3 linked regions of the Sus scrofa genome follow. The protein of the gene in region 3 interacts with the protein of the main gene of each other region in a pairwise test. Links are inferred from orthologs where the notes say so. Each region holds a gene or a part of one and is shown on either strand. Other genes may lie near its edges.

Region 1 (4,240 bases), on a different chromosome or scaffold from region 3:
TGGAATTAGCTTTAATTTCTGTTCTGAATGTGTTCACTCTTCACTTCTGGCACCTGGAAATTTCGCTTTCTTACTCTAAATGTAATAAGGTAGTTTTAAGATTGGTCCTTTTTCCCCCTTAAGATTATATCAAACACGTCTCGCATTTCTAGCGAGAGAGAGAGAGAGAGAGAGAGAGAGAGAGAGAGAGAGAGAGGAATTTCTTTATCTGTGCATCCTCATTGAAAGTCATAGGTGATTATCTTTACGGAGTTTACAATTCAGAATGTTCCCTAACTCCTTATATTCATTAAGGAATTGACGTAATGTAGGTACTCTGGTAACACTTACATGCTATACATAAATTGCATTTTCCAGTAGTTGTATACTCATTACTGCACGTATAACTATTTCCAATTTAATTGTTTAATCTTATGTCTTCATAAATTATAAGCAAAGTGAGATATATGAGCATATTAGAATTTAAAAATTGGAAGAGACAAAGTTCATGAAGGCATGAAATATTAAGTTCATAGTTGTAAAATCATTTGATTGCTTAGGTAAGAGAAATTGATGAGACTACCATTTTATGCAATCTTTTCGGTACATGAAAGTTATTTTCTTAATATCAGAAAAGATCAAATATGAGTCATCTTTCAGCATGTTTAACTTACTGCTTTGCTATATGTTTTGTTTTGTTTTTTTCTTTTTAGGGCTGTACCCGAGGCATATGGAAGTTCCCAGGCTAGGGGTCCAATGGGAGCTGTAGCCGCTGGCTATACTGGCTACACCACAGCCATAGCAATGCGGGATCCCAGCCATGTCTGCAACCTACAACATAGCTCATAGCAATGCCAGATCCTTAACCCATTGATCCATGCTGGGGATTGAACCCACGTCCTTACGGATGCTAGTTGGGTTCGTTAACCACTGAGCCACAATGGGAACTCCTGCTATATGGTTTTGAATTCTGTTAATAGCTGACTATATCTTTGAGCTTTAACATGATATTTGCAAAAAGAAAGAACACTGATTTATAGATATGATAATCAAGCTTGACAATTTGTTCTGAGAAATACCAAAGTAAACTTGTATGACTCAAATAAAAGTTTCTCCACCCTATTACAGACAGGGAACATTTCTAGGAACAGAAATATGAATTAAAATTATCTAGTGCTTTAAAAAATATGCCCTGGGATAGGTATTTTATAGATTGATATTTTAAAGAAATTTCTTTTTATAGTTACTATGTAGATTAAATATTTCAAGAAATGTAGCCAGTTTTTATTTAACATAAAATGGAATATTCTTTTGCTTTTGTGTATGAAGACAGCTTTCAACATTTCCATAATTCAAGGTGAAATTAGCAGTTACTGGAATATTCACCTTTTTAGCCACTTAAATGAGGAAAACTAAAAAAAACTACTGCAAATTATGTAAATTCTAAGTTTAAATTATATGACTTTTTTTTAATAATTCAGCCTTTCATTTCTTTTTAAATTCTTTTTACTTAGGGTAATTAAGTTAACCATTAGATTAACTTGTTTAATGTAACAATAAGACCATTTTTGTTTAAATATTAAGACTCATAATTCTGAACACTCAATTCTCTGATTAAAGTAAGCTGTACAGATATAAAATGATATGTATATTAAATTTAAACCTGTATAGCCACAAAGACAATTTGTTGTAGATATTACATAGCCAACTTTCAAGTCTACCCTTAAAATATTTATTAATTGTAATTCTTATTTTAATTTGAATTGGGTTATATGTTAAAATCTAACATGATAACAATTGTGAAATAACTTGGAAGACATAAAAAACAAACATGTTTTGGTTAAGCCTTTATATATTGATTAATTTTGAAAGTGTATGTGTTTCATTTAAATGATGCTGACTTAAATTTTTTAAATTATCAAATCAAATATAAAGTGTGTATTCATTTTTATAATTTAAATACTTGAAATACATTAGCTGAAACATTTAAAAGTGAGTACTTTGATATTTTATTTTACAGTAGTCCTTTTACAAAAGATTATTTTTTAAGTTCCTCAGATTAATTTTAAAGAACCTGGAAAACAACAATGAAGAAATTAATTAAGATCTTTTAGAAAATTATCTCAAATTTTTAGAGGTTACACATATGTGTCAAACTGGGCATAAACTTTTCAGAATTAAATGGAAAAGTGTTCTGTAAAGCAAGCACAGTATGACTAATTTATATAGTCTGTTTATAGAGGAAAGAATTTTAAGTTTGTTATTGTAGCATCTAACTTTGTTGTGTTTCCAAAATGAAAAGATACTTTTTAAAAGAAACTTAAAATAAAAAGTTGATTTTTATTATAGTGGTCTATTTCCAGGAACTCTAAACCCAAATCTCATTCAGCATATCAGTAGTATATATGAACAGATCAGCCACATGTAGCCTGGTCCAAATCTGAGCAAAACAATAACTTTAATTATCTGTTGAGCTCTCTTTATGTCACAGATTTCAGTCCCTGGATGTCTCACAGTTAAAAGTACAAAAAAGAATGGTTTGTTTACCTTTGTCTTGTTCCTCTTGTTGCTTTTCCACTTACGCAGTTGGAGTCCTGCCTTTGAGAGAAAACCTGAGTATCATCTGTAACATTAATGTTTTATTAAGATTATTTAAATCTCTGTCTTCTAGTTCACAGGCTAATTTCTGTATGATTTTCATTTAGGTAACTTAATTGAAAGCCACATGTTGAAGTCAAATAAGTTAAAGTCGTCCTTTTGCTGTTAATATCAAATGAGAACAAATTGCTTACCTCACACCTGGAGAATCTGGTTCTGCTTGTTAGCTGCTTATTCTTTAGATTAAACAAAGATTGTTTTCCTTGGAGCTAGTTGGTAGCAGGCAGTCCTTATTAAGCTGCTTGCAATGGAATACTTAGCACAGGCTCTGTAATTTCAATCCTATAATATATATATAATACATTACTCACAAAAAAAGAGTGTTCATAATTTTTTTTCTTTAGGTATGAAAACTTTGGAACAAATAGGAATGGAAAGAACCTTGGGCAAAGGCTTTTTGCTTAATTTACTTTAAAATGATTGAATTCTACTCTATTTTAGGGAATTCCAAGGGCTTAAAAAATTACCTCAAAAAATTACCAAATTTCAGAACTACAACAGCCAGAAAAGAGTTCATGTCTGTAAACCTTCTACCTTATCTTTTCTTTTTACTATGTGTGCTGTTTTTATTAATTTTTTTAATTTTCTTTTGATTCTTTCATAGTTTTCCATATGGAAAATATTGTGCATTGCTGTATATAAGTTATGCTGTTTATTACATTAATGTAACAATTCAGAATTCATTCTTTGTAGGGAAAATCGGAAATGAAATTTCTCTGTGCTACTACATTTTCTTCCATTTCTTTTTCTCTGCCTGACTTGTTATGATTTGAGGGTAAGAGGAGGGACATCGCTATAATATCTATATCTAATATCTGTTTAGCAGTCCAACTTCCTGGAGTCTGTTCCCAGAATAAGAAGTAACATCTTCACACACTATTCCTCACAGCATTCTTTGTAAAAGCAAAACACTGGAAAAAACCCATGAGTATTCCAATGTAATCCTTCAGTGGCCGATAAATGATGAAACATCCAGGGAGTTCCCTTGTGGTTAAGGATTTGGTGGTATCACTTTAGTGGCTTAGGTTACTGCTGTGGCATGGGTTCAATCCCTAGCCCAGGGCACAGCCAAAAAAAAAAAAAAAAAAAAAAATTGAGGAAACATCCATACAATGAGCATTTGGCTTATTGATAAAGAATATAGTAATAAAGAAGATTTCTTTGTACTGGTTCAGAGTAATTTTAGGATTTACTTTTTAAAAAAAAGCATGATGATGCACAGGAGTATATATAGTATACTAGTTTTTGAGGAAGAAAGAGGGGGTAGAGGTACACACACATTGATAACCCCTAACCAGTCAACAACAGTAAATATCCATAGTGCCCAAATCATAGTCTTTAACATACCATTCCCCCCATGTATATGTTTATATTATTTAACAAAAAAACAGTGGGAGGAAGAATTAAAAACTAATGAAAGGAAACCCTCTTATACTGTTGGTGGGAATGTGAATTGGTGCAGTCATTATGGAGAACACACACACACACAAAATGGAATGTTACTCAGTACCCAAACTGTAGCCTTTAAAATACCAATTCCTACTGAAAGGAACCAAGGCTTCTTAGGGAAATGGATGAGTCCAGGGCTGGGCCATTGTTTATT
Region 2 (4,223 bases), on a different chromosome or scaffold from region 3:
GACTATTTAGAAAACCCTTGATGTTTCCTCCCCTTTTCCTTTCTAACTAGATTTTTGGTCAGTTGTCCAGCTTTCCCTATAATATTACATGTCACATAAGAAGCATGTTGTTTACTTATCATTCAATTTAGTTCACAGATTCACAAGATGATAAATAGGAGCACACAGTGGACCTGAAGGAAACTGAACAGAGCAGTACACCATAGATGCTGAGGGGTGCTTTCTCTTAAAGCTAGACCTCTGAGATCAAAAATCCCTAGGTCTTCCAGGATCAAGCTGTGTGGTCTAGATCAGGTTATTCAACCCCTCTACGCCTCAATTTTTCATAGAACTGTTGTGCAAACTAAGTACGTATGTAAAGTGCTTAAACCAGAACTAGGCATGTAATAAGCACTTTATTATAATGGCTATCTGCCATCACCATCATCACTCTTTGCAGTGGGGCACAGCGAGAGAGATACAGCACATCTTTTAATATAGAAGATGCTTGGAGTTCCAGTGGTGGCGCAGCAGAAATGAATCCAACTAGAAATCATGAGGTTCAATCCCTGGCCTCGCTCAGTGGGTTAAGGATCCGGCGTTGCCCTGAGCTGCGGTGTAGGCGTTGCCGTGGCTGTGCTGTGGCTCCGATTCGATCCCTAGCCTGGGAACCTCCATATGCAGGGGTGTAGCCCTAAAAGATGGGAGGGGATGCTACTGAGCAGCTAAGGCAAAGACTGGGGTGGATAACCCTTCTGGCATTCGCACAGTCCATACTCTTATCCAATAAATACAAGGAGAAGTAGAGACAGCTGACTTACAGAAAAAGATGATGAAGCTGACTCACAAAACAAAATGGGAGGTGGGAAAGAGAAGGGAGAAGGGAGGGAGAGAGAAAGGGAGAATATATCTTGGTTTCCAAACACTTTCCAGTTCCTGGTTCCACTACAACTTAAGCACTGAGTGCCCTTTCTGGCCTAAACCAACAAATAAATTCTCCACTTTTTATTAAGCTTTGACCAACAACATTTATAAAGTCTAACACAGGTCTTGGAAAAGTTTTCATCAACAAAATAATCTTAGAGGAGGAAAAGTGGTATGCATCTGTTACTACACAGAAATTAAGACGACATTGCAGATAAAAATAAATTTAACTACAAACCAGTATTCTCAACCCACTGTAAACCTAATGCATGAACTTACACAGGTGAGGCTCAGGCCTGGTTGTTTCAAAAGGTCTACAGGTGTTAAAAGCTCTACAGCTGAGGCTAAGACACTAAAACCCTCACATTTATCAATATGAACTCTCTTTACCTACTATCAGGGTCCTCCGTATATAAACTAGTACAGGCATAAAATTCATTAATATGCTTTTCTCTTTACTGAGAATGAAATAATTTTTGAAACAGCAGGCGGGGAAAGGTAGGCATTATTCAAACCGAAACAATTTCCCTTTAGATCAGAACCATGAATACATTCTTTTGCTGATGTACACCATACCAGCCAGGTAACCAGCCAATATCCTTCCACCGCTTCTCATCGCTCTCCTAAAAACAGTCACAAACATAAACTGAATCTTTTACCTGATTCCCCTTTCCTTCTTATTCCGAAAAAGTAACCCTAAAACATGTCTGTATTGTGCAAATTAGTTGTGGTTAACTTAATTTCAAGTTCCTATTCATCTCTTGACACTTTTTTTAAATCAGGGTGTCCGTCCTTAAGTACCCCATTTATGTCGCCAGTAATTCAGCGATCCATAAAAATTCTGGCTCGTTTATGACAGTTTTGTCTCAGTTGAGGACTTTGAAGAAGATTATCAGCCCCAGGAAAAATATCTTTTCCGTTCTAACCCCAACAGCTCATTTCAAACCTCTACTATACAAAGGTATCAACAATAAAGTTATGACCTTGTTCTAGGACTAGGAAGGAAAATTGTTCAAGAGCAAAAAACAAGTTCACAAACAAACCTCATGACAGCACGGACTTCTGCCGATTTCTTACCATAGCACTAAGAAAACAGCAAGGTTTAAGGTCGATTATTGAAGGCAGGGTCCCCAAAAGACCATGCTTCTCTCTATGATGTTGAGGAAGCACTGGTGGGAGGAAGGGGCCTTTCTCGTGACAGATCTGACTGAACGGTAGCATCAGCCATCGATGAGAAAAAATTCCTAAAAGCAACTTCACGTTTCAGAAAACAGCCTCCCACCGAGTAGCCCGTAGACTTAGGAATCACCAGGGACACGTACACCCCTCACGAAGGTGGAAAAGCAAATCCTGCTCCCCACCTCATCCCCTAAAATAAACGGTAAGTCGGGTCCCCAGGAGCGCCTTCCCCAGGGCCCCTGCCCCCGCGTGCAAGGTGTGCGGACCCCTGGCGGGACCCCACTGGCCCGCTTACCCTGGGCCCCAGGCCCGCCGGCCCGGCGCTACGCGGGCGTCCTCCGCCGTCTCTCTCCCCTCCCCCGCCCGCTTGCGCTCTCGCTCCGACGCGGGCCCGGGCCCGGGGCTCCGCCAACCGGTCCCCTCGAAACAAGAAGGTGGCGGCCGGAGACGCTGCGGCTCCCCGGTTTCCCCTCCCCTCCCCCGCGGCCTCCGCACTCCACTCCCGCGCCCCCGCTTACCCTCAACTCCTCGAAATCCGCCATTTTATACCACCCGCGGGCGCCGCCGCCGCTGCCGCCACAGCACCCCCTCCCGCTGCCGCCAACGAAGCCGCCGCCACCACGGCCGCCGCCGCCGCCTCCAGCACCATCCTGCACTGGGCGCCGCTAAAGACGCCGCGGCTGCTGCCGCCGCCGCCGCCGCTGCCGCCGGGCGCGTCACGTGACCTGCGCCGGAGCTCCACCCCCTGCGCAAGCGGCCCCGCCCTCCCGGCGCCCCGCCCACCGGCCCACCGCCTTCCGCCCGGGTCTTCCGCCCGCCTTCCCAGTGAGCTGCGTTAGGCTTGCCTGGATCTTCCCCTTTCCCCCTCAGCGTGTCGGCCTTCCGCAGCCTTTCCGTGCCCCGCCTCAGCGCGTGGATGCTCCTCTTCCCCACGCGAAGGCCCAGCCCGACTACCTGAAGCGCCGTCGCGACTGCAGCATTACCGGCGGGCCTGTAGGAGGGAGTGATGGAGAGAAAGAAGAGGTGTCTTTTCCCACGGTGGCGTGGACTGGGGGAGTACCCACAAATAAAGCCATCCCCCAGAGTAGTTGTGGTGGAACAACCCATGGATGTTGACTAAGCTCTGGTTCTGAGCTAATGGTGCGGGATTGGTGAGACCTCTTTGGGTTGCTAATATCTTCAAAGTACTAACCTGGCTAGTTCTCTCTGACTTTGAAGGGCGACTGAATGTCAAAGACTGCAGAGTCGAGAGGGTTGGGGCAGAGAGGTTGGAGAAGTGAAATAGGAGAGCAACTTGAAAGGCCCTGATAGGAAGTCGAAGGGTCAGGGAAATCAGATAGCTGGGAAAGATGAAATGTCAAAGGCAGAGCGGATGGAAGGAAGTTTCTCACAGCACCCCTGACGTGCTGACAAAGGATGAGAGAAGATGCTGAGGCAAGCTGGTCAAAAAATTCGCTGGACCAAGGACAGAGTTGAAATGTGCTTTGAGAAGTGGCTCCCATTTAAGACACTTAATGTTGATCCCTGGGCCAAGAAGAGTTTCCCACTCTACCTCTTTGCCTAACTCCTAGTCATCCCTCAGGACTCAGTTTTAGTATCATTTCTTCAGGAAGACCTTCCCTAAACCCTCATGCCCCATTTTAATTCAGAGAATCAACAGTATCTAGAATAGGTTCTGATTCTGGTTCTCCACCATTAACGTTATGGTCTTAGGTTGATTTAATCTTGGTTTATTCTCTTTAGGTCTTAACTTCCACCTCAGTGGCATTTTATATTGTTCGACAGACATTAAATGAAGGCTAGGAGCTTTAGGGGAATATAAAGATGAATAGGATAAAATACAGCCCTTCCACCAACCCATAAGAGGTACCAACTCAAACATAAAACCATAAGAGGCAGAGCTGCACGGAAACTGTTTGAAGTGTTCGTTGTAGGATTGGGTAGGTTTGACTGCAAAGAGTTCTGGGTGCTGCCCTACACTGACCTAAGTCAATAATAACTATGCCCCCTTGCTACAGTAATTAGATCAGAACTGTACCTATAAATGCAACTACTGCAGGACATTTCCAGGTCAGTTAGATCAAGTACAGGGTGTGCCTCAAGGTAGGCAAATGATGTAGACCAGTAAGTGTCTGGGACAT
Region 3 (4,302 bases):
TTGTGACAGAGATAGTATGGTCTGCAGAGGCTAAAATATTTACTATCTGGCCTTTTACAGAAAATATTTGCTGACTCTCACTTTAGATTGGCTTGAATGACTTTGGTAAATAGGTAAATAAGACTGTATGGTATTAAACCAAAATATTACCAGATAAAATGAGTTAAAAAAAAAAAAAACTAGTTTGTTCATATGGGCTTTACATTAAAAATGGCAGAGGTAGTCTACCTTCTGTACTGTCTCTCCATATTCCTCAAAACTACACTACGAGACACCAGTAGCAGCATAAATCCAAAGTAAACAGAGAAAAAGAAGGGACTTCCACGTTATATAAGGAAATGGCTTAGAGAATTTTTTTTTTTTTTTTTTTTTTTGTCTTTTCTAGGGCCCCACCCGCAGCATTTGGAGGTTCCCAGACTAAGGGTCTGATCAGAGCTGTAGCCACCGGCCTACACCACAGCCACAGCAACGTGGGATCTGAGCCGCATCTTTGACCTACACCACAGGTCACAGCAACACCAGATCCTAACCCACTGAGCAAGGCCAGGGATCGAACCTGCAACCTCATGGTTCCTAGTCAGATTCGTTAACCACTGAACCATGACGGGAGCTCCTAAAAAATCTTGATCTCCATTTTCTCAAAGCAATGAGTTCTTGCTTGACAGGCTGCATTAGAATTAGAGAAATTTTTACATATGCCTAAGAATTACAAATGCCTCAGATTCTGATTCAAATATAGGGTCTGGGAGTCTATTCTTAAAAAGCTTTCCAGACAATAACACTGTGATTATGTTAAAAATAAAGAAACCTCATCTCTAGAAATGTATCCTAAAATACTAATAAAGTAATATTTGATATGATAGTCTGGAATTTGCTTCAAAATAATTGGTGAGGGTAGAGTGGATGGGGGTATATAGGTGGTACAAATTCATTCATGATTTGATCATTGTTTAAACTGGATGACAACTATACAGGAGTTCATCACACTGTTCTCCCTGCTTTGAAACATGGACAGTGTTTCAAATTTTCCATGAAGTGTTTAAACAAATTCCAGCCTATTCTAATTGAGAACCAGTAACTAGTCCACTGAAGAGGATGGCCCCACTGCCACTGTTTCTATCATTTACTTGTATGATTTAGTATTTTCAGTTTAGAATTTGAAAGCTACAAACTATTAATATGCTTAGCTTTGGAAGAAAGCCCTTCCACGGATAACGTGACATTTCTGTGGCAGGCATGAGTGCAGCTGACTAGCAGAAAGATTGTTTACTCCAAGTTCAATAGTCAGCAAAATCTTCAGGAAAAGTGGCAAAATAATTACAACTACAATTGAAAAATGTTTAAGTGAAACATTTAGGGAAGAAATAAAGAGAGCACATTGAGTATAAAATCTTAGATTCTGAAGAGACTTTAAGAATTATCTGAATCCATTTTCTTATTTCATGAATAGCAAGACTGAGGTAAGGGAAAGAATGATCCAAATAGACTCCATTTCAAATAGAGCAACCTGCTTTTATTCAGGATGCCAGTTACTGCAGTCACCATTTGACAAATAATACATTACTTAGATCCTGAGTCATCAATGTAGGGAAGTGGGTACAAAGCTTTGAAAGAAAGCTTTGAAGAATTTTGAAGAAGTTCAGATGGCTGAAGAGACAGCCCAAATGTTGAGAAAGAAGTCCCGAAGTGGGAAAAGAAAGGAATGGAGGAGAAACACCGAGAAAACATCTTCACTTCTTTTTGTGATTATGTTCTCAGTTGGTACTTGAAAAAATAAACTGGAGAATCCATATTTCCCACGCTATCAACCTGGCAAATTATTCTCTCTTTAGGAAAGTAAATAAAATAAAACCCCACACTGGTAGGAAGGGATAAGTGACAAGAAACATCAAACAGACCCCCCAGCTGCTCAATCTGTTTTTCTACTTCATTTTATTCTACCTGGAGGAATTAATGTATTTAATGCCAGCAGCTCTAAAAGGGATTAGAAACATTCAGGTGGTAATCACATTGCTGTCAGCTCCAACTTTGCTTTTTGTGGGGTGAATACAAGTTTTCTCCTCCCTGAAACAAGTCCTTGGAATTGAGAACAAGGTCTTCAAGGCTGCTGTGGATTGTTCGTTTTCAGCGGTGGTAACATGATGAAGTACTACTGGGAAGTGGAGAAATTCTGGAATTAACCTGCTCTGGCTCTTGAGTAGCGGCTGGAAGAAAGAAGCAGCTCAGCCACCATAACTATAAAGTATGAGATGAAAATGAGCAGTCCACCAAATGATGTCCTTTGTTGACCCCCACTAGGAGAAATTATTCAAATAAGCACGTGGTTGCCACTCACAGCCATGCCAAAGGGGAAAAGGGATCTGAAATGCTGAGCTCTCAGAAGAGCAAAGATGATACTCAGACAGAGAAGCTGTCAGGAAACAGAAATTCATTTGCCCACCTCAGGGCAGATGAGAGAAACGGCCACCTAAATGTGGCCCTCAGGTAATCCACCCTCCCCAAGGCCCACAACCTACAAATTCATCGATACCCTAGCAAAGGGTACCCGTGTCTGTTGGGAGAACCAAGAGTTAGGTCTGTTGTCCTCATCCGAAAATGCGGCCAGCAGAGGAGTCGCCTAACAAGAACTCCACCTCCGGGCTATTTTGAGGCAGCGCGGCGAAAGGAATGATCATTCAACATCGCAGTCCCCGAGAGAGCCTTTAGTTCCCAAAACCATAACTCAGGTCAGTGTGATAAGAAAGAAATCCCCAAACGGAGGAGGAGCCCCGACACCCACCCTGCTGCAGCCTCGCCCCCCGCTGGGGGCGTGGGAGCGCTCACCTTGGAGTCGGGCAGGCTGAAGAGGCTGGGGTCGTCGGTGCTCCCCACCATGATCTTATGCTCCTTGCCCGGGGCATGGCCGCCCGCGCCGTCAGCGCGAGCAGCCTTGGCGCCGTGGCGCTCCCCGGCCACCCGCTCGCTGGCGGTGTTTCCCATGGCTGCAGCTCGGAGTCGGGGGCCACCTGCCGTGCGGAACACAAGGCTAGGAACACCCCGGCGGCTGCGTCAGGAGCACCCCCGGCCCCGCCCCTGTGCCTGGGGACCCGGGCAAGGGAATCCCCGCCCCAGGGAGGCCGTGCCCGGGGGACAACCTCCCCCTCCCCGGCCTCCAGAAGCGCCCGGAACCCCCAAACCCCCTGGTTGCCGGCGGCTCAGGAAACTCGCTTTCGGGAACTCCCCCTCATCCCTGCGCTCACAGTCCAGGGGCGCCCGCCCCCGCCCAGTCACCTCCTGTAAATTCTCCCTCCTCCCGAGGCCAATGGTGCGATGGCTGTTCCGCTGAGAAGCCACCAATAAAGTTATTGAAATTGAAGCCGCGCCCGGGGCTAGCGAGCCGCGGTTCCTCCTAAAATGGCCACGAGGCCAGCGGCGCGGTGCCCGCCTAGCGCGCACTCCCTGTGGCCGTACCACCGCGGCGCCCGGGGCCCGCCGGCCTCTCTAGCCACCGCCGGCTCGATGGTGGGCAGCGGCGCGCAGCCTCCAGGGCCACGCGGGGGCGCCCGCTCCGCAGTCCGCGGCACGCAGGGCTGAGATCGCTTCACTGGCGAGGCTGTGCTGAGACTCGGTTGGTTGAGCCCCAGGGCCTGCCCTCCGGAGGGGGTGGTCCCCGAGTGACTCCAGGGCTCCGTACCCAGAGGAGCGACTTTGCCTTTCTTTCTTATGTTGTCTTTCTGGGGGGCTTCCCTGAGAGGTGGGTTTCTACAGGAATCAAGAAAGCGGGCTTCCAACAGAAGGCTGAGGAAGTAGTGGTAATTGCTAAGTGCTGTGGGAAGCAGTCAGCTGGACTGGAGCCGCGGGGAAGGAGGAGTGATGAGGAGATAAATCTTGACAAATGGTTAAACTTCGTCTAAGGAGAAGGAGAAAGCCCTGCAAGGCTAAGAAACAGCACTTGGTATGAGCAACCCCTGAAGAAATGAAATTCAAGAAAGAATGGAAACATCAGAAAGAACATTAAGGCAGAAACGGGCAGCGACAGGCCTCAGGTTGTGACTCATTCACGTTTTGAGTGATAGTTAATGAGATTGCTATGGGATTTACTCATTCTTCCTTTGTGTTATTAGACGCACGCATGTTTCATGACCTACTGGAAGCTCTTGTCACTCAGCCTGTGTTCTAGTGAGGAGCAGCATGGGCGTCACCTGGGAGCTTGTTAGACATCCTGAATCTGAGGCCTCATCCTACAGGATCAGAATGTGCATTTTAAACAAGATCCCCAGGGGAATGTGTGTGTGCATTAAAGTGTAAGAACCCCTGCTTTGA

What was found.
Region 1: the proteins of PRKAB2 (region 3) and STX19 interact in binary tests that used the Homo sapiens proteins (3 or more experiments, as listed by UniProt). The link is inferred for Sus scrofa from reciprocal best matches to the Homo sapiens genes PRKAB2 and STX19.
Region 2: the proteins of PRKAB2 (region 3) and PIAS2 interact in binary tests that used the Homo sapiens proteins (3 or more experiments, as listed by UniProt). The link is inferred for Sus scrofa from reciprocal best matches to the Homo sapiens genes PRKAB2 and PIAS2.

Annotation. Positions count from the first base shown.
Region 1 is NC_010455.5:165,857,123-165,861,362, reverse strand, and holds the start of STX19 (syntaxin-19), read right to left. Parts: upstream 2,801-4,240; 5' UTR 2,527-2,800; intron 1-2,526. UniProt on the Homo sapiens protein: Plays a role in endosomal trafficking of the epidermal growth factor receptor (EGFR).
Region 2 is NC_010443.5:96,542,981-96,547,203, forward strand, and holds the start of PIAS2 (E3 SUMO-protein ligase PIAS2), read right to left. Parts: upstream 2,801-4,223; 5' UTR 2,625-2,800; coding exon 2,601-2,624; intron 1-2,600. UniProt on the Homo sapiens protein: Functions as an E3-type small ubiquitin-like modifier (SUMO) ligase, stabilizing the interaction between UBE2I and the substrate, and as a SUMO-tethering factor.
Region 3 is NC_010446.5:100,377,247-100,381,548, reverse strand, and holds the start of PRKAB2 (5'-AMP-activated protein kinase subunit beta-2), read right to left. Parts: upstream 3,006-4,302; 5' UTR 2,980-3,005; coding exon 2,824-2,979; intron 1-2,823. UniProt on the Homo sapiens protein: Non-catalytic subunit of AMP-activated protein kinase (AMPK), an energy sensor protein kinase that plays a key role in regulating cellular energy metabolism.